Linked DNA regions of Arabidopsis thaliana. Each later gene encodes a partner of the first gene's protein in a complex. Each region holds a gene or a part of one and is shown on either strand. Other genes may lie near its edges.

The links. Proteins that work in one complex are often made in the same cells at the same time.
Region 2: PC-MYB1 (region 1) and ATE2F2 share a complex: the UniProt entries of both Arabidopsis thaliana proteins name them as parts of the DREAM-like complex.
Region 3: PC-MYB1 (region 1) and E2F1 share a complex: the UniProt entries of both Arabidopsis thaliana proteins name them as parts of the DREAM-like complex.

Annotation. Positions count from the first base shown.
Region 1 is NC_003075.7:15,788,536-15,796,162, reverse strand, and holds PC-MYB1 (Homeodomain-like protein), read right to left. Parts: upstream 6,031-7,627; 5' UTR 5,594-6,030; exon of another isoform or gene 5,579-5,593; intron 5,208-5,578; 5' UTR 5,125-5,207; coding exon 5,054-5,124; intron 4,918-5,053; coding exon 4,863-4,917; intron 4,639-4,862; coding exon 4,581-4,638; intron 4,415-4,580; coding exon 4,320-4,414; intron 4,220-4,319; coding exon 4,116-4,219; intron 4,020-4,115; coding exon 3,891-4,019; intron 3,730-3,890; coding exon 1,956-3,729; coding exon of another isoform or gene 1,911-1,955; intron 1,632-1,910; coding exon 1,384-1,631; intron 1,277-1,383; coding exon 1,162-1,276; intron 1,050-1,161; coding exon 831-1,049; intron 640-830; coding exon 520-639; 3' UTR 247-519; downstream 1-246. Other genes in the region: La1 (La protein 1), read right to left, coding at 6,480-6,570, 6,669-6,741, 6,837-6,984, 7,090-7,384, 7,474-7,596. UniProt on the Arabidopsis thaliana protein: Transcription factor that binds 5'-AACGG-3' motifs in gene promoters. Transcription activator involved in the regulation of cytokinesis, probably via the activation of several G2/M phase-specific genes transcription (e.g. KNOLLE).
Region 2 is NC_003070.9:17,632,954-17,638,349, reverse strand, and holds ATE2F2 (winged-helix DNA-binding transcription factor family protein), read right to left. Parts: upstream 3,654-5,396; 5' UTR 3,414-3,653; coding exon 3,180-3,413; intron 2,919-3,179; coding exon 2,732-2,918; intron 2,621-2,731; coding exon 2,561-2,620; intron 2,477-2,560; coding exon 2,391-2,476; intron 2,192-2,390; coding exon 2,103-2,191; intron 2,015-2,102; coding exon 1,960-2,014; intron 1,792-1,959; coding exon 1,739-1,791; intron 1,647-1,738; coding exon 1,596-1,646; intron 1,517-1,595; coding exon 1,468-1,516; intron 1,388-1,467; coding exon 1,322-1,387; intron 1,236-1,321; coding exon 1,165-1,235; intron 1,075-1,164; coding exon 960-1,074; intron 868-959; coding exon 793-867; 3' UTR 541-792; downstream 1-540. UniProt on the Arabidopsis thaliana protein: Involved in transcriptional repression. May act by repressing E2F-regulated genes in mature differentiated cells, but is not an antagonist of E2FA.
Region 3 is NC_003076.8:7,358,773-7,365,045, reverse strand, and holds E2F1 (E2F transcription factor 1), read right to left. Parts: upstream 4,512-6,273; 5' UTR 4,298-4,511; coding exon 4,115-4,297; intron 3,645-4,114; coding exon 3,482-3,644; intron 3,351-3,481; coding exon 3,294-3,350; intron 3,213-3,293; coding exon 3,127-3,212; intron 3,048-3,126; coding exon 2,959-3,047; intron 2,865-2,958; coding exon 2,810-2,864; intron 2,352-2,809; coding exon 2,299-2,351; intron 2,225-2,298; coding exon 2,174-2,224; intron 2,097-2,173; coding exon 2,048-2,096; intron 1,961-2,047; coding exon 1,895-1,960; intron 1,815-1,894; coding exon 1,741-1,814; intron 1,656-1,740; coding exon 1,385-1,655; intron 1,255-1,384; coding exon 1,185-1,254; intron 1,069-1,184; coding exon 926-1,068; 3' UTR 541-925; downstream 1-540. Other genes in the region: OFP10 (Ovate family protein), read right to left, coding at 1-357; AT5G22210 (aspartyl/glutamyl-tRNA (Asn/Gln) amidotransferase subunit B), read right to left, coding at 5,255-5,497. UniProt on the Arabidopsis thaliana protein: Transcription activator that binds DNA cooperatively with DP proteins through the E2 recognition site, 5'-TTTC[CG]CGC-3' found in the promoter region of a number of genes whose products are involved in cell cycle regulation or in DNA replication.

The sequences.
Region 1 (7,627 bases):
AGCAGTTCATGGTCGGTTTTGATCGTTTACATTGTTCATTGTAGGAATCTTGGGTTTGTAGTATAGGCCTAACAATACATTTTGATTGTACAATAACCTTTAGATCAACAGTAATAGCATCATAAAAGGATTAGTATTAACTTCCAAGTCCTATAAAAGAAGAATCTGTGTCTACACAATATCATAATACAAACTTTGCTGGTTTTTAATGGTTTTATGAATCAGTATCATACCTGAACATTGTGAAAAATTCTTAGCATTTAACAGAACAAGAAGAAAATCACTTGGTTCATCATGAGGACGAGAACTTTTGGAGTTACAAGTTAATTACTTGAGAACAAGTTACTTTTTCGCTATTTAATCAATGGTATGATGTCCAGAGTTGAGAGATCTACACATTTAAAAAAATTAGAAACAAGAAAATTGGACAAGGAGGGAATAAAAAAGACATACACATATGGGATCAAAAAATTGAAGGCGAGACTCCCTTCAGAACTCTATGAACAAAACCACCCTTCTCTATCTGCAACTCTTCAAAAGGTAAGATGATGGGCTTGAGTAGCCTCCCGGAGAAGCCGAAGGTACCTTAGCTTTCCCTGGTGTCCCACAATCGCTGAAGTCTAAGGCGCGACACTCCACCTGCATTCCACAGAGAATTGGTTCACAGTACGTCAATTTATAAACTCAAAACTGTTATTCCTTTTAATCTACCAAGTTCAAGATCCAATTTCAACATTAAGCTAGACCAGGTGTATTGATTAGAGGACTTGATCAATTTGAAACTTATTGAGAGTTTGTATGATATATAAGGTGTAAGTTGAAGCTGAAACCTGGGATCGGTTCCCAAGCTGATCATGAGGCTGGTGCTGATTTTCTTTCCCTTGAATGGACTTGTTCAGCTGTCTCTTCTTGAGTATCGATTCAGGTGTGTCATTACCCAGAACTTCCAAGGCATCTGCATATGCCGTAGCTGAGTGTTCACTCAAATGCTTCATCAGTCCTATGGCATCATAACTTCTCTCGCCGGGACTCATAAAACACCCAATATCCTGGGAAGAAAAAATGATAAACAACAAAGAAGATACGTCCATTAACAGGCGCTTCAACTTAAAACAAAAAGTAAAACATCCAGAAACTAAATTTATTCCATCTCATATTTACCTCAAATGTGATTTCTGGAGGCAACTTTGGACTTTGCAAGAAAGAACCAAAGAGTAAAGGAGATTTCCAAGGTGATGGGGTATCAAGGAGTTTTCTGAACGGAGTTCCATCAAATCTGGAAAACGAGTTGTACCAAGACAACTTAGGTTAGAACTTTCGAGCTAATATGATTCAATAGCAAAATGAGCTATCAAACACATACAGAGGAAAAGTAAAACTTACATGTTGAAGTTTTCAATATCAAAGCTGGTCTCTGCAGTGTTAGTTTTATCGATTGCAGATAAAGGAATAGAGTCCACTGTGCATAGAGGTTCTGATGACATTTCTTCTGTTGGAAAATCACCTAATGATATTTTGTGCTGGTTTGATAGATCTTTCGCACTTGCATTAACTTTGTTATCTGGTCTAGCTCGAGTCATACCAGGAGAACACAGTCGTAACTCAAAAAAACTTCCAGAAGTTTCTTGGTCCTGGTACAAGGGCAAGTAAGAGATTTAGAGATTAAAGCTTATAAGATTACGTTATGGAGATTTAGACCAACTATAAAACTATAATCCTCTACAAAGACAGCTGAAATAACTAGATGCTATCTGTTTGAGCAAATGTGATTGATACGATCTCACATGAAGAGAATTCAACATACTAGATGATGTGTTAAGCAACAAGAAGTTCACTAATAGACTCAATAACCATGTACCAGACATTGCACCTTACAGCTATAGACATCAGAGAATGAGATGACTGGGATTTTATAACTGATACCAGATAATATGCAAGGACAAAGACGGACTTACATTTTTAGCTGAAGCACCACCGTCATTACATCCATTTTCATTTTGCATAGAAGTCACTCCACCTGATTCTAAGGTTTCCTTTGGTTCCTCATCTATCGGAATCATTTCTTGATATAACCGAGCTGATGCACAATTTCTGTTATCTCTGGCTATGGAAGGGGAGGCACATATATTTTTATCTTCAGGAGACTCTGACGGACGAGAGGTCATGCAATCATCTCCTTCATCAAGCATTACATCTAAGCGCGAAAAATCATTAGCCAAGGAGGAAGTCGCAGCCCTTTTAAGCTTTTTGTCTTTTCTTCTATCAAGCACAGGTGAAAGCAAGTCTCGATGCCGCTTCTTTAAGATGGATGGTGCACCACTAAAACTTTTGGCAGTATCATTAAGCATGACATCAGGGCTCCTATCGTGACACGGTGAATCCCATAACCTTAACGGAGTTGTACAATTCATTGAAGAAATCATCAACTGACGGATACCAAAGGGACTGTACTCTTGCCGTAAGTCACTATTTGATGGTACAAGATCACAGCTGAAGAAAGGAATATCTGCACTTGGAAAACGTGGAGGTTCATAACAAAGAGCTCCTTTGTCTTTTTCAGCCGGCTTATCGTCAATAGGAAAATAAATCTTGTTCACTCTAGAAGGAGAAGAAAAACTATTCAAAGGTACTAGCTTCAAAGAATCCTTGGGAATATATGACAGCCCCTGTTGTTCTGGGAAACCACCATTATCATCATTGCCATGGGAAGTTACATGTCCGTAAGTATCGATGAAACCGTCATTTGTATCAGTCTTACATTCTAATTCGGTAGCTCCAAAAAGGCGACAACCTTGTATAGGAGCGTTGGAATCATTACGGGGTAAAAGTGAGTCCTTCAAGTCTGAATCCAACAAAGGGACACAATTATGACCCGCCAGGCCCTCAGAACTTGAAGGATGCCACGGTAAAGCTGGAACTTTTCCAGTTTCATGAGCATGGGTTTCTGCAGCCTGAGAACAAAGAGATCCTTTGCCGTTTTGAGGGTCAACCATATTCCGACCTTGCTCACCAGAAGATGTACTGCTATCTTTCATGTTATCTGGAAAAAGAACCCTACAACACTCCTCATCCGTGATCAAAGTTTGAGCTTCTGGATCTGTGTCCGAGTTTGACAAAAAAGGTTGATCACTTAATCTTACTGAACTTTGAAAATCTTGTTGAAGTGCTTGGTTTTTTCCACCGTTGTCCATGTTATGGGTCAATAACTCTAGACCACGGTCCTGTTTAGCATCATTAGATACACCCGGCAATTGATCCTCCGTAGCTGTGGTAGTTCTTAGCTCGTGAGAACAATTAAGATTCTGAAACTTCTTCGAACATTCTGTTTCACAAGAAATTTCGGGGACAACAATTTTGACATCTTTAAAGGAAGGGTAGTACGGTTCTGCATGAGATGCAGCGTTTGAGATTTGCTGCTCCGTTCCTGAATGAAATTCAGGCATGTAATATTCCTCATTTCCACGTTGAACTTCATCTTGTAAATCGTTGGTTGATTGTGAGAAAACAGTTGAAGCTTGGCTGCATTCTGATTCCTCAGCATCAACCCCTGGCCTTGAACTACCTTCATCTCCATTGCTGTGCATCCACGAGGAAGATGAAGCGATAGATTTGTTCTGAAGGGCAATTAATGGCGAGCTTTGACACTGATCTAAAAGACCTGATGCATAGTAGGAATCCAACTTCTTCTTAACTGAGCTGTTCCAATGATTTTTTATCGAATTATCTGACCTACAGGAACGTAAGAAAAAATAAGCAAATCACCAAAGCAGGAACGATAGACCACAACTACCAGCATCAAAAACCTATTATTTCATTTATGAGGCCACCAATTTTACGGACATGTTACACCTATGTTGTTATACTAGGACCCATGGAAAAGACATATTTACCTTCCTGGCAAAAATTTCATAAGCTCTGCCCATTTATTCCCATAAATTTGATGCGCACGAATAAGAGTCAGTTCCTCTTCCTGAGTCCATGCATTTTTATTAATCCCAGGGTTAAGATGGTTATGCCACCTACATCACCCACAATATTGTTTATGTGCGTTGAAGTACCACCCAATGTATGTAAATATCATTTTATCGGAAAGAAGTTGAGAGCCTTTGCATTACCTTTCCCTACATTGCTTTCCTATGCGCCCAGGTAAATGCTGAGATATAGTAGACCATTTCTTTGGCCCATATTTTTCAACCAGGTCAATTATTGTGTTATCCTCCTTCAAAACATGGAAAAGTAATGTCATGGAACACATTACAAATGCTAAGGTGTATTAGACTCAAACCGAGTAAAGCATATAAAGCAATTCACAAAATCACCTCTTTTGACCACGGTCCTTTCACAAGCTCTGGGTTCAAGACCTTTTGCCATCTATGAAGACACTGAACATCAGTCCGATCCTTAAAACATTCAGCTGAAAAGGTGAATCAAATAAAACCACATATTACTTTCACCGTACTAACTAAAGACTACAAATAAACATGGCAGCTAAAGTAGATTATTATTGATATGATCTTAACATACGCTGGAAAAACAAACTGGGAAAACAAGAAGAAATCAGAATTTGCTATTCGATTTACCTATCTTCTTCCAGTTCTTTCCTTGAAAACGCTCAACAGCTTTACACAAGACTTCGTCCTGATCCAGAAAAACAGAATTGATACAACAGAAAACTTCATAGAGACGAATTCTTCAATAGATGCAAAGGATAGCTAATGTCAACTAGTTAAATGGAACTGTGCGAAGCAACAATAGGGTGTTACAGAGACAACTGATTAAGCTCAGGCAGTGTTCCAGGATACATAATATGAAGCATGGAAGAATCAGATAGACAACAAAAAAGACACAGGAACGGAACGCACCTCTTCAGGTGTCCATTGTCCTTTGGTAGATCGTCTAGCAGGGCCAGATGTCCTCCTATGAAAATGTCACAAAGAGCTTGCATCATTATTAACCTGAGAATGTCTAGTTGAATGCAAAATTTGGTGCCAAAAGCAATCCAACTTCAACATTGAAACCCAATAGAAGAAAAGGAAGAGAGATGTAAGCGTACCCTTGTTTTCCTTTGAGGTCACCTTGGAGACTCTCTAGTGGAGTAGTAGGTGCTTTCATCTCACGCTTCATAGTTAGCAAGGAAAGCAATATGAAAAACCCCAAAGTCCGTTTCTTTGATATGTCTTAGAAATCATCATAAGCGAAGCACATTGCTGTAATTTGAAACAAAGATAAACCATAAAATTAAAAACACAGTCGGACTCAGACTAAGAATCAGCATTAGCTTCACAGCAAAAGAGCAAACTAAAGTCAAAACAAGGAAGAAGTTCACAGAATGAAGAAGGTAGCTTTAGATATTGAGATTGGATCCAAAAAAACCTAAGATAAGAAGCCCGAATTAGTTTCAGAACCCAAAACAAAAACCTCGAGAAAAAAGCTTCGAACATCATCTGAAGAAAATCGAAACTTTATACGAAAAAAAGTAAGAGAAGTTCAAAGAGTAGATTTTTGAAAAATCAGGAAGAAGTCTCCGTGAAAACTAACAAAAATGTGACCATAATAAGAGAAGGAGACGAGGTCATACGAGTAAAGCTCACACCTTGCAGATCAACGAATTCCAAAATTAATCTGAAGTAATTAAGACGCTGAGAATCCAGATGAAGAAGAAGAAGAACACAAATCGAAATCGAAGTCGAGAGAGAGAGAGAGAGAGAGAGAGAGAGAGAGAGAGAGAGAGAGAGAATGAGAGAGAGAGAGAGAGGTATTCAAAACTCAAACATGGAGAGGCGGACGGAATTCGAAGTGAGAGAGAGAGAGAGAGAGAGAGATCAAAACAAAAAGGAAAGTGATCTCAGCCGTTGATTTCAATCTCTGAATCTCGCTTTTTAGTCTCTCATATCATAAAAGTTCAATTTATTTATTTATACGTTTCTTCATTCATTTTTCTTTCGAGATTCTCTGTTGCTTCTTCTTCTAAACAACGGCAAAGCATTCTTTGTATGAAAGAAGAGTTTTTTTCTCATTAAAAAGGAAGAAGATGAAATTGCCAGTAACAGCTAATTCTAAAATCAGCATAAAAACCTAATAACAATGTAGACAAAGTCAAACGAGAAGACCAAGAAGAATACCAAAACTATTTGATTTTCAAAATTAATTTTAACTACTTCAAGTAAAATAGTGTCATCATCAGTGAGTCAATTGATACAGTTGTAGAATTTACAGGAATATACTTTTAGCAGTTAATATTAATAGTTTGTCTTTTAGAATGCTTCCTAAACATCGATTTAAAATAATTAAGGAAAGAGATGTGTGCATAAGAAGGCACATAAAGCTAAACAAAACAATACCAAATATGACTAAACCAAAATTTGCCAAATAAGCAGCTATTTCTAGTTATAACATCACGAGTCACCAGTCGATACATTAAATTTAAAGTTGCAACTAGAAATATATTGAAAAACAGAAGCAGTCACGAGCGAAATCTCTCATGCTTCCACCTTCTGAGATTTGTTCCAGCGACCACCCGGTGAATCTGATCCCCTCTTTCTCCCGAATCTCCCTCCTCTTCTTCCTCCCCTGCATAGACCAAGTATATTATTATCTGAAGAACCAAACAAAAACTTCATTTGAAACAAAATCATAACAAAGAAACCAGAACAAAAACATGAACTCACCTTCCTCCACGGCCACCCTTGTCAAACCGATCTTTGCTTCGTAGGAGAGTCCAATACTCCTTTTCAGCTTCGCCTGACAGAGAGCAATATAAACAAGTGACCATTTAACTAAAGCAGAACACAAGGTTTAGTTATAAGATAAGATTGAAGTTGAAAAGGTGTTTTTACCAATAACAGGTTCTAGGACAGCAATAAAATTCTTCACGGCTAGTCCACCTTCATTGGCTAATACTGCTGCTGCACGGGCTTTCTGGGATGCTTCAGGTTCATCAAACCTAAGATAACCCGTCTCAGATCCCATCTTGAAATCAACAAACTTCACAACAAAAAGAATAAAGGAATCAGTGAAAATGATGTCAGTTATATGAGATATTGAATCTGATTCATGTTGACAGACAGCTAAGTAAAACTCAAGTAGTACCTTGACATCACCAAATTTTCCGAAAACAGCCTTAAGATCTTCACGTAAGACAACATCCTTATTATCTTTATGGGTGGCTAGAGCACCCTTTTCTTCTTTCTCATCATCTTCATCCTCTGCTCCCTCGGCCTGAACCTCACCAGTGTTTTCTTTATCAGCATCAGGAGTATCTGCTGGCTTTGTTTCACTTTCTTCCATTGTCTTATCAGTTGGCTCCTCAGAACTTTTTTGTTCCGTGGTACCCTCTTCAGCTGAACGCTTGAGGGTGAATGAAATGATCAAACCCTTGGGATAACTACAATACGATAAAATAGCCATAATCAGATCAAGAGGATTATTAGCATGAAAAGACAAGTAATTAGATAGCAACAGTCAAACCCCTACTCTGGCTCATAAGCAGAATTGTTTTTGTGATCAGAACCATTCTTCTGATTTGCAGATCCCTTCTGAGGTTGGTAATTAGCAAATTTTACTTCATCCTTCTCCCTTTCATTATCAAACTCTTTCCTGAAAAGAATATATCACCTTTTAAGTAACC
Region 2 (5,396 bases), on another chromosome or scaffold:
GTGGGTGAGTTTATATAGCAGAATTATATCCAACAATGTATATTAGGAAAATTATCCTCTGAAAGGCATTCCTTTTTTTTTAGGGTACGTTTTACTGTTTTAGGCAGTTACTTCTAGGCAAGAGTTATGCCATTTAACGAAAAGTATTGCTTGGGATCCAAACAAGCACCATATTTAGGGATCCACCAAGATATCAATGTCCAATGTGGTCATGATTAACTCATGAATGACATCAAACATGATATGATCTAACTCATGAATGACATCAAGCTTTGTAAAGTTGATACTTCTTTTCCACAAGATATTTTTCTCTACTAGCGTTCAAGACTTCGAGCTTTGAAACTAAATGTAACAAGATGAGAGATTAACTAGTTTTCAATTTGGAACCATTCGTTTTTTGACATGATTCTGACAGAAGTAACGTTTGATATTGTCCAAATCAGGTGGTTCGTAAATGATGCTTTGTTTCTGTTTGAACATGCAAATTGTAACCTATGGACCCAAAGTGTCAAAAAGATTAATTTCAAAGTTCATTATAAACACATGTTACAAAAACAGATGTATGCATTGACATGCAAAAGGCCATTAAGTATAATTATATATCTAATTAGAGTACAAGTTTTTTCACATAATTGCCACATCCCTTGAATGACCTTAAAATATTGCATCTTTTATTTTTATAAGGAAAAAAATCTATTAGGATTTCAGGCTCAAAAGGGGTAGTAAAATGTAACAGAAAATTCATCCTCATCCTAGTAATTGGGAATTTGAGGTTTCAAACAACTTTGTTTCTCAGCTGTTGAAGTTGCTCCATAAATCTGTGAGGCTCACCTCTGCATCTGACTCGAACCAGTAATCTGCTTTTAACTGGCAATACACAACCAAAAATTCAACTTAATCGCAACATACGAAATGCGAGACTGATCCCAAAACCCATATCAGTGGATCTAAATACTTACATCAGTATCTGAAGTTACTATTTTCAAGGAAGGAGTGTCTACTCCAACTGGAGCTTTTTGATCAGACTCATTACCCAACTTGTCGCTTGTTTCCGCACTGTCTCCTTTGTATTTGCTGCGATCATGTTTGTTCCCAGTTATTAACACTGACTGACAAATATATAGATAAGACCAGACACAGAGAGTGGAATGTGTAACTAAGTACCTTAAAAGATAGACATCAATCGGCCCCATTCTACTCCTAATCACCATCCGGTACTGTTGCGGAAAACTCATCTATCGTGAACAAAAACAGATGCTTTACTTTGTGACACATTATATTACAACTGTACAGCAAATATGAAAGCATTAAAAACGCTCACCTCATCAGGATCTGGAACTTCGATGTAACTAGCTGTAGGAGCTTTAATTGCTAGTAATGTCTGGTTCTGTATAAGGACTACCAGTTTAGTATGTTAAATAACTGAGGAAAACATAAGATGATTTTCAAGAACTAGTTGGGGAGGACCTGAAACCGTGGGAGACTCGTTATATCTTCCTCCGTCATAAACATGTACCTGTTTATTTCCATCATTGATCTTAGCAACACTCTCGTGTATATACAAAAAGATGAAACTCAAATAAACTGACGAATACCTTCTACAGTAGTCATCTTCCTCCAAGGATCTGAGAGCTTCTTGTCGTTCCCTGGAGATACATAACATGATGATCTTCAAACCATGTGGGAAAGGAACAATGGATAAGTCTCCAAACATAATATAAGAACACAAGCAACCAACCTTATAAGATCATCCAACCTGCTTTCCTCAGATTGCATACTCTCTACTTCTGACTGAAAATACGTAGATATGTAACCGGTCAGTAATGGGGAATTTGAAAATAACTGTGTGAAATAAACTATAAGACAGAAAAATAATGAAATCATGAATTTGACAGATTATTTGCATAGCAGTAAGTTCTACGACAAAGAAAACACGTGAAAATGCTTGTCACAATGAACCTTAAGCCTAGAAATTTGATCTCCCAGGTCCTTTTGTCCAAGATTGTCAGCACCCCTGCATCAATAGCGCATACACAAAGTCAGACGAACTCAAGCTATATACGCTGCAATGTATCCAAGAAAGAAAAAATTTGTGTACTTACTTCCAGCGGATATGATTCTTTGTAGTTTTCTCTATCAATCCAATTCCTTCAAGGACATTTGTAATATCATATATCCTTCTTTTTTGTACCTGTTAAGAGGGATCGCAGGAACACGTAAGCACATAAGAGGAGATCCTAACAAGCTGATGAAGATAACTAGGGAGATATCAAACAGTTAAGGCAAGGGTTATAAAGGTGAGTGATCTTTTTAGTCCACGTTCTTAATTAGATCTTCTACGAGTTGAGACATACATTTTTAACTTAAATATTAAGATACATTTAGCATACCTCCAAAACAACTGCACAATAGTTAAGGTCAAGTGTTCCATCCTCAGCTTCCTGGATCAACTTCACGAATTTTTTTGTCAACAACCCTATCAAACAAAAGAGACACCGATACAATTACAGTTGTTATCTCCATACAAACATGAACCTTAGTAAACAGAACTATTAGTTACCTAAAGAACTGTCATAACGGCAGTTAATACTAGCTCCATTTAAGCCACCATTTTGCACTTCTGCACAAAAAAACTCATTCACAACAATGCTGAATACAAACAGATTCTTATTTTCAATACATATCACATTCTAAGAGCTAGCCAAAGAGATTGATCAGAAAAAGCAGATACCGCCATTCGCCATTCGTTTCCCAGCCTTTAACAGTTTAGTACCACCCTTTGACTTGTTGTATACACGTTTAACATTTTGAGGAGACGACTCTTGTTTCACTATTACTTTAGCTATATCTATGCTTTCTCCTCCAGACATGTTGGCAATAGATCCAAGCTGAATTCGATGATTCTTTCTACTCTTCTGCTGCAAATTAAGAAAAGATCAACTCAATAGCATTACAATCACCAAAACGAATCTAAATTCGCAAATTGAGATTAGAGAATTGAAAGCTAGAGATCCAATTTTGGATTAAGTTTCCCTTAATGAAACCAAACTTCATTCAATTTTTGTTTTCGCGAAATTTGGGAATCAGAATTAAACCTAGCTATCGCAAAATCAAGTTCGGAAATGGAATCAAAATCAAAGAAGGAATCTACGAGGACTTGAGTAAACGAAGAGACTCACAACTTTCTGAGTGATTTGAGAGTAAGAATCGTCCCAGTGAGGTGAAATTAGAGGAGACAGTTGTGAATTCGGAAGCGATTGAGAGACTGAGAAAGGTCGATTCGTTGAAGAAGGAGTTAGAGAAGAGTAACGAGGATCAGAGGAAGAGATAGATTGAAGTAATTCGAAGCGAAAAGGAGATCGGTGATGGTAAGAGAGAGTCGGATCTTCGCCTGAGTTTGATGTCGCGGCCATGTAACGGCGGTGTATCTCCGGTGGTAGAGAAGATGGGATTTAGAGTGATTTTTTGAAGCGATTTTGGAGAATCGTGATTTAGGTTTTTGTGGGGGAAGATGAAGAAGGAGAAGAGGGAAGATGGAGAAAAAGATGGAGAGAGAAGAGAGGAAACAGCGGGAAGAAGAGGAAGGGTAAAAGTGTCTTTTTGTTGTATTAAAAAGATTAATATAAGAAAGAAATATTGGAATTATGTTAAAAGAGCGGTGGGCGAAAGAAGTTGGAGAGAGTTTCGAATTCTGCCTAAGCCCCGCCTAACTTCTTCCGCTTATTATTTTACTCTTTTGACTATTTGTTGGGCTTGGTCTTGGGCTTGGTCTTGGGCTTGAATTGGGCTTAATAATGTTACGACGTTTACATATCTTCTAGAGCTTCATACTTTGTAGCTTTATGTTAATGATCGACATTCATGGTTCACGAATCTATAAATACGGAGTCTCGGCATTGCTAGATTGAGTTTACAGGGGAGTCCTAATCTCCGAGGTCCATCTGCACCAATAAACTCTATGAACGGCCCAAATTTGGTCCAGTTATCATACCAAAAAGTAGTTTAGAGTTCATGGTCTTTGCCAAAAGGTAGAAATTAGAATGAATTTCTAAACCCATGATTCATTTTGTTTCTCTGGTATCATTTTTCTAGCTTTTTTTCTTTAATATTTTCATAAAAACAATTGAAGAATGAAGAGTGCTTCTGCATAGTTGAGTACTTGAGTAAGTGATATCTAATTAATATCAAATTATGTGAAAATTATACCATCTTTTATGAAGTCGTACTATATATGTATATATGTTTTTTTGTCTATCTTAATATATGTTTATGGGTCTGATTGGTAACCAAAAGTTGTTAACTCTACTACAGGTATTAAGCTGTACAATAAACTAAGAGTAAAACTTTGTAACGCTTAGTACCGTTTTGTAAAGTGGTTACCAATCAAAACCTATATTAGGTTATAAGGAAGCGATGGGTGCATTGACGACAAACACACAAACTTGGTGTATAGCGCTACACAAGGGACTGTTTTTTTTTTCATTGTATTATTACCAATTGCATCATGTAACAAAAATAGGAATTCAAAATACTGAATTAATTAATCATGATTTTGAATAAACAAAACATATTAAAGGAATGTAAATATAATTGAGTTATTTCAAAGAGTTTTCGTATCGCATAAGTTTGATACCTTAACTTGTTTTCGTAAAACTGGACAAATATGACGAGAAAAAATCCCTTCATGATATCATGATGGCTTAAATCAACGTAATTTCCATTAGTTTAGATCTGAGAGACTGAAACATTGGTGTACCAAACAATGTAAAACACACATTTTCGTCCCTATGGCATGTGACAACTTTTTAGCCAAAAAAAAGAAAGAGTATTTTATTTAGAAAAATATTTGTGAAGACATATTATCCACATTTTTAAAATTTATTGTAGCCATGGATCAGAAAAATTATATTATATTTTAGTTTAACTGTGACAAACAAACAAAACAAGATTATCCATATAAATGTAAGTTCGTCTAGATATTCATACAGAAAAAGTTTGTCTAGTTGCATTTTTGTTGTCCTAAATTTCAAGTGCACTAACGCGAAATCTACTTCACTTGTCATGGTGCAGTAAGAAAAAAACAGTAAATAAAAAATGAAAAAAATATGGAAACACTAAAAAAGAATTTACAATAGTCGATAGCATTTTTATTTGTTTACTTTGGTTCCTTTTTTCTACTTTTATACAAAAGAAAAGGTGAGGAGGAATTTATAGCCTCTAAAAGTGATCTTACAAGTTATCTAACGTTGTTTTTTTGGTAAGAAGTTATTTTTATTATAACTCCTACCATTTAGGTAATTAACTTCCTTAGGCTTAAGAGTTTTCTACAACTATTAGATTTTAACCCGTAGTACACCATGAAGATTTTTTTTTTTAAAATTAGTATATATAAAAGT
Region 3 (6,273 bases), on another chromosome or scaffold:
GATCATCTGATTCATCGACTTCTTGTAATCTTCGAACGGATTGATTGATTCTTTAGCCATCGCGACGCTCTCATCGATCTTAGGACATGGGCTGCGTAAAACCGTGGGAGAAACCGGTGGTCCCGGGGTGTAGTGGCTGTGAGAGGAAGGTGGAACGGTAGAGCCGCAACCGCATGCCATAAAAATGGGTTTGAATATGGTTTTGAGTATATACTTCATCATCTTCTTGAAAGACATTTTTTTTTTTACTAGAGGAAGAGAAAACAAGTTGAGATTATTGAGTGAGGATGTTGGTGTGGGAAAGTTTGTTAAAAGAGGAACCTTTTTTTCATTTAACTTAGCTTGGAGATTCAGCATTGCTCATTGCTTTGGAGATGCACAATTTTGATGGATTTCTTTTTTAAGGAAAATAATACCATCTTGAGGTGAATTCAAAGTTATATATGATATCATTTGTAAGAAACTATCTCGAGTGATATCAAAGGATTGGACATAGAAACCGATTTGAACCAAAAAGAAATCTCTCAAACCACAACCGAACCAATATGTTTTCGTCAAGATTTTTGATGAACGGAAATATGTTTTAGTTTCGATCTGGTTACCTTTTTGGTAAACCGGAAATGGAGCATGTAAAACTACTAAGCACCCGTCTACAACTCTAAAAGGTTTTGCAGTTTCACATGAACAAGACCAATATTAAGAAATCAATGGGCTAAGGCTAATTCTATATTAAGCCTGAGAAGCTAACAAAGAAAAAAAATGAAGAATACAACGAAGGGGTTGGTTTCTCTACTTTTATTTTGCAATCTCTATTCTATGATAATGCAATGCAGCTACTGTACAAGTACAACATTAACTCTGGTTTCACCGAAATCAGATTCTATGTACAGATATATGGTGGTGCTTGTAATGTGGTATGGTAACTTCAGCTACCTGTAGGTGATCTCGTAGCAGTGGATTCTTCTGGTGTTGGGCTCGATGGAGTTTGTGGCTGCTCCAAGATTTTGTTGTCGCTCGGTCCAGCGTGGTCTTGATCAAATGTAATCATCTGGTTCCAGTCTGGTCCAGCTAATGATGAAAGAGTCAAGGAGCTCTAAACAGATATCATATTTGGGGAGGAAAAAACTCAAAAGCTCAAAGAGAGATTAGATTAAATCACAGAAAGTGATAGAAATCAAGGATACATTCATCTGGCCACATGTCTGTGATGCTGACTTCGCCTACCTCTGATCGAAACCAGTAATCTACACCCATCTGTATATAATGTAACATACAGGTAAATATGAATTAAGTCAAGCATGATTTTTTAGATATGGTTACTTTTCCAGACTGTGATTATGTACATTGGTGAAAATTTTAAGCTGAGGAAGCAGTTGGGACTTACATCCAAATCTGGAGGAACAATCTTCATGATACCATCGACAAAGTCATGAGATTCGATGTCAGAGTAAACTCTTTGCGTATCATCAACTTCCTGTGTTTCCATGTTTCTTTCGGTGCTTTCCTCTTTCATCGGCATAGATACATCATGGTTCTCAGGGAGACCAGATGTTGATGGAAGATTTGAAGGTACATCAGGGACATTAGAGGGTTCATCAGGAACATTTGAAGGTTCATCAGCCTGAGGAATGTCCTCAAAGCTCTCTTCGAATTGACTAAAAAAGCACAATATAAATGTCAGTCTCACTTCCATGTTACAGATTTATCCAGGGCAAGCATAACGTTTGAGGACAGTGTTACCTGACTAGGTACACGTCTATTGGTCCCATTGTGCTTCTCAGAATGATTCTGTACCTCCTCTGATAACCACCAGCCTGATTAATGGCAGGATAAGAGGTGAGAATCGTTACAGACAGTGCATCGCTCATTTGGTTTTGTGCGCTCTTAAGCTTACCTCATCAGGATCTGGAACCTCAAGAGTTGTTCCATGCGGTGCCTTTACAGCTATCAGCGTCTTATTCTAAAATAGGCACCACAAAAACATGTTTCCCCAGTGAGAAGAATGCAAGGCAAAGAGAAACACGTAATTACTAGAAGGAGACCAGACCTGGAAGCATGGTAGGTTCTTAATGTCGTTTTCAGTGACGAACAGTAACCTAAAAAGTGGAGCGTCAGAACAAACAGATATGTTTTATTGTACCTTTCGGCAGAAGAAATAGCAGGGGACGCTTACCTTTTGTTGTTTTCATCCTCACTCAAGCTTGTTAATCTTTCTTGTGATTCTCTGCAACCAGGTCGACTCTCAAAAAGATGATACAAAACAGCAGAAAAGGGAAGGAAAATTATCTGCGAAAATACCTGATTTGGTCATCTAATCTTGCCTCCTCAGCTGCGAGGTTTTGTACTTCATCCTGTAAGATTGGTAACAGGAATTATAAAACATGAATAGTTTTTCGAACCAAAAACCCAAAACAAGAAATCAATGCAAGTGACTGAGATCGAAGAAAAACTGCAGTACCAATTTCCACTTATTCAACAGGTTCAAACATAAAACAGAAACTCATCATTCAAAGGTGCCAGTACGGGTATACAAAACAGAGCTTGTGGTTACATGTCATCGATGTTTGTGTGTATGGTAAATTTACTAGTATCCTAGTTACCTCCTAACACATTTAGCTCTCAGAAAACAGGCATAACAAGAATCATACTAATGCAGATTCATACGATGTTCAAGAAGACAATGCAAGCTAAGATATACCCTTAACGTGAAAACAATAATAAAACTGGTGATAATACTGAGCATTGCATAACAGAGTTCGCAGTGAAATGTGCAATGAAAAGGTAAAGAATATATAGGCATGTTCTGTACCTGTAGGTTAGCTATGCTTTCGATTGTTTCTCCTGGTTTTGAGACATCGAGACCCCTAAGACAGACAAGAAAATTCAGAGTACTGTCGCTCACACATGAGTCATCAAATGGAAGGAATCCAAGATTTGACAGTTCTAAGACATGCTTACTTCCACTGAATCCTGTTCTTAAGCGTCTTCTCTATCAAACCTATTCCTTCTAACACATTGGTTATATCATATATCCTTCTCTTTTGTACCTGCATCAACAGGAACATACAGCTAAGTTTGACAGAAAGTAATACATCAATATGGGAGTCTAGAGTTCAAATATGTCACCTCTAAAGTATCAGCTGCTTTGTTTAGATCAAGAATACCATCCTCTGCTTGTTTTATCAAATTGATAAATTTCTTTGTCAAAAGACCTGAAGCAGATTAAATCATTAAAAAAACTTATTATCCAAAAGTACATTTTTTAAACATTAGTTAATGAAATAAGTTATTACCTAACGAACTATCATATCGACAAGTACCGGCCTGTGCAAAGTTATTTCCAGGAGAACCTGCCAACACAAAAGATCCTTCTCACTACATTGCAATATCTCCACTCTTTAAAGAAGATTTAGCTCAGATGAGCACATAAGAAATATTTCTCATTGGCATACTAACACAGAGCATTTAGAACCAAACTCACCTGCATTAGAGCCAGAAGCTAGCGTTCCAGACTTATTAGACTTCGCAGACCTAGAAGTTTTCTTGGCTTTCCCCCCTTTCCCTGATACAGGTGTTTGAAGAACACCGGTATTCAATTCATTGACCTCAACTATTTGGTTTACCAAATCTGTCTTACGCTTCAGCTGCCAATAAAGTCACCAAAATTGAACAGTTAAATACATCAACGAATTGAACAGAATCAAATCCTATCAGCATCATACTGTCACTATGCTGAAATCTAAAAGCATAGACACAACTTTTACCAATTCCAACATAGCAAAATTCAGAAACTAATTTAACTAAACATAAACACAAAAGTGCATGAATCTGCTCTAAATAGCAATAACAGTAACACCACAAACCCTAAGTCCAGCAACTAAACTACTCAATAAGTACTTGCAATGCTAATTCCAATACTACAAACAAGGTTAATCAAAAGAGACCAAACGCAATTAACACCAACAGAAGCAGATCCCGACACAATTCTCATCAAAATCTAAAGCAACGACATCATCAAAATCATAATCAATAAAACCAAACCTCACACACAATCGAAAACACGAGAATTATAAAGCAAAATTCACAAGCAAAATTGAGAAGAAAAAAGACTTACAGTAGATTTGATCACAATCGCGTCAGAGACAACCTGATCAGCAACAGCTCCACCACCGCGAGTCTCCGCCGCATCAAACCGGTGATACTCACCAGGAGCAACTAGAGGAGGCTTCATAGAAGAAAGAGAAGGATGAAGCTGCCGCTTAGAAGATGGGAATTGTTGAGGTACTTCTTCAGACATAAGAACGAATCTCGATAAAAAATCCCCCAAAAAAAAAAAGAAACGGCGAAAATTGTCACGGAAACTCGGATCTCCGGTAAGCAGAGATCCCAATAACGATTAAGAAGCAGATCTACGGCGGGAATTACGGAGATTCCGGGAAGAGAATGTGAAGAGATCGGCGAATCGAAAAAAAGCGGGAGAGGAGAAGAAGATGAAGAAGAGGAAGGATTATAAAAAAAAAAAAAAAAAGAGACGGTGGAAGAGGAAGAGAGAAAACGAGGGAATGAGTTGCGTTTGGTTCTGAATACTGATGTGGAGGGAATTAGCGCTCTTTATCTCTCTCTTTGTACACAAATCTTTTTACCAATATCTCTCTACTAAATAATAATAATCCTATTTTTATATATAATACAAAATTATAAAATTTTAAGTAAGTTTTTTTTTTTTTAAAGTCAACGAAGTTAATAAAGCTATGTAACTAATTTGGATACAGTTTTATTTCCTTGAGATTGAGGGGAAAAAAATGAATTTTGGATTTATTCATGTTAAGAAGTGGAGCATAATAATTTCATCAAACTGTTGCAGCATCCGTTACACGCGTTAAGTGTGAGCAATTATCGTCAAAATCTGTCGAACTTATACGTTTTTTTGTTTTTAATTCATAGGTGAGGCAAAACTATATTGATGAAAATTATGCTCATGAGTGTCTCATCATTTAACAACTTTTTTAAATGGAACCTCGAAACATAGGGATTCCAAATCATAGCACCAAGACAATAGAAACATGTGTCGTCTGAATGCAGACACTTGGATCTCTTATGAATGCTATACTGTTTAGAGAAGATAATATATATTTATAGACTGAGCTTCCAAAACACAAGCTTTAAGTATGACTGTATGAGTAATCAAAAAAGATACTAAGACTTTGAAAGCTTCATACATAACAAACAGAGACAACAATAGAAGAACCCCTTTTTACTTGAACAAATGGGCAAGATCAGGGTCATCTAAATCTACATCAAGCGATCCATTTAACCGCATAAACTCGATGTAGCTATCTGGAGGAGTGATCGCACGAGTGTTGTTCTTCGGTTTGAATCCATGAACTCTCTGGAGATCTCTTGCGAGCCAACGCAGAAAAACTTTGTCCAATGGAGGTACAATCTTCAAATGGATCTCTTCGCGTTCTTCTTTCACCGTTGTAGCTTTGTTTCCCATCTTGCAAAACCCGATCTTTACATACATCATATATAGTATCGTCACATTGTCCAAACCACAAAAACAAGTTATCTAGTCAACAAGATGATTATGCAACACTTTTAGCAGATGCATTTTGGGATTAACACTTAACACAATCTATAATTTCTCCATGCACACCAATATTGCAAGTGTGTAACATTTACATGTTCGGATGCAAATTATCTCGTGAATAACACAATCGTCAATTCGTCATAACCATCTAAAAGGAGAGACTAAAAAGTTCTATAGAAGCTATACACTAACCTTAAGGACCATCAAAACCTTAATTAAGAGACCAAACTATTATACATCAACCAAGTAATCATCTCAGCGTCCATTTTTAAAGCTATCTTTGTTCCACTATGTCCAAGAATCATAAGATCCTCGAGCAAATAAATTGTACAAGATGAGACATCTATGAACCACCAATTCAAGGTCAATTCTTCAAGATGATTAACATGATAATATCAATTAGAAATCAACTCATTCATGAATACTAAGTCTACATTTAAAACCCCTAAATCAATGAGAAAACTGGAGAAATTACTTCAAATTTCTATCATCACTATATACCCAAAAAATCAGGTAAAATCCTAGCCAGCAAATTAAGCTTAGCGATATGATATAGATTCAAGAGATTTTACCTTTTTCAATCAGAGAGACAAAACATCAGAAACCGAAAGTGAGTCGAAGAATTTCTGACCAGACAGACACTATAGAGCGTTTTGCAGAGCTAAACCAATGTCGTATCGCTA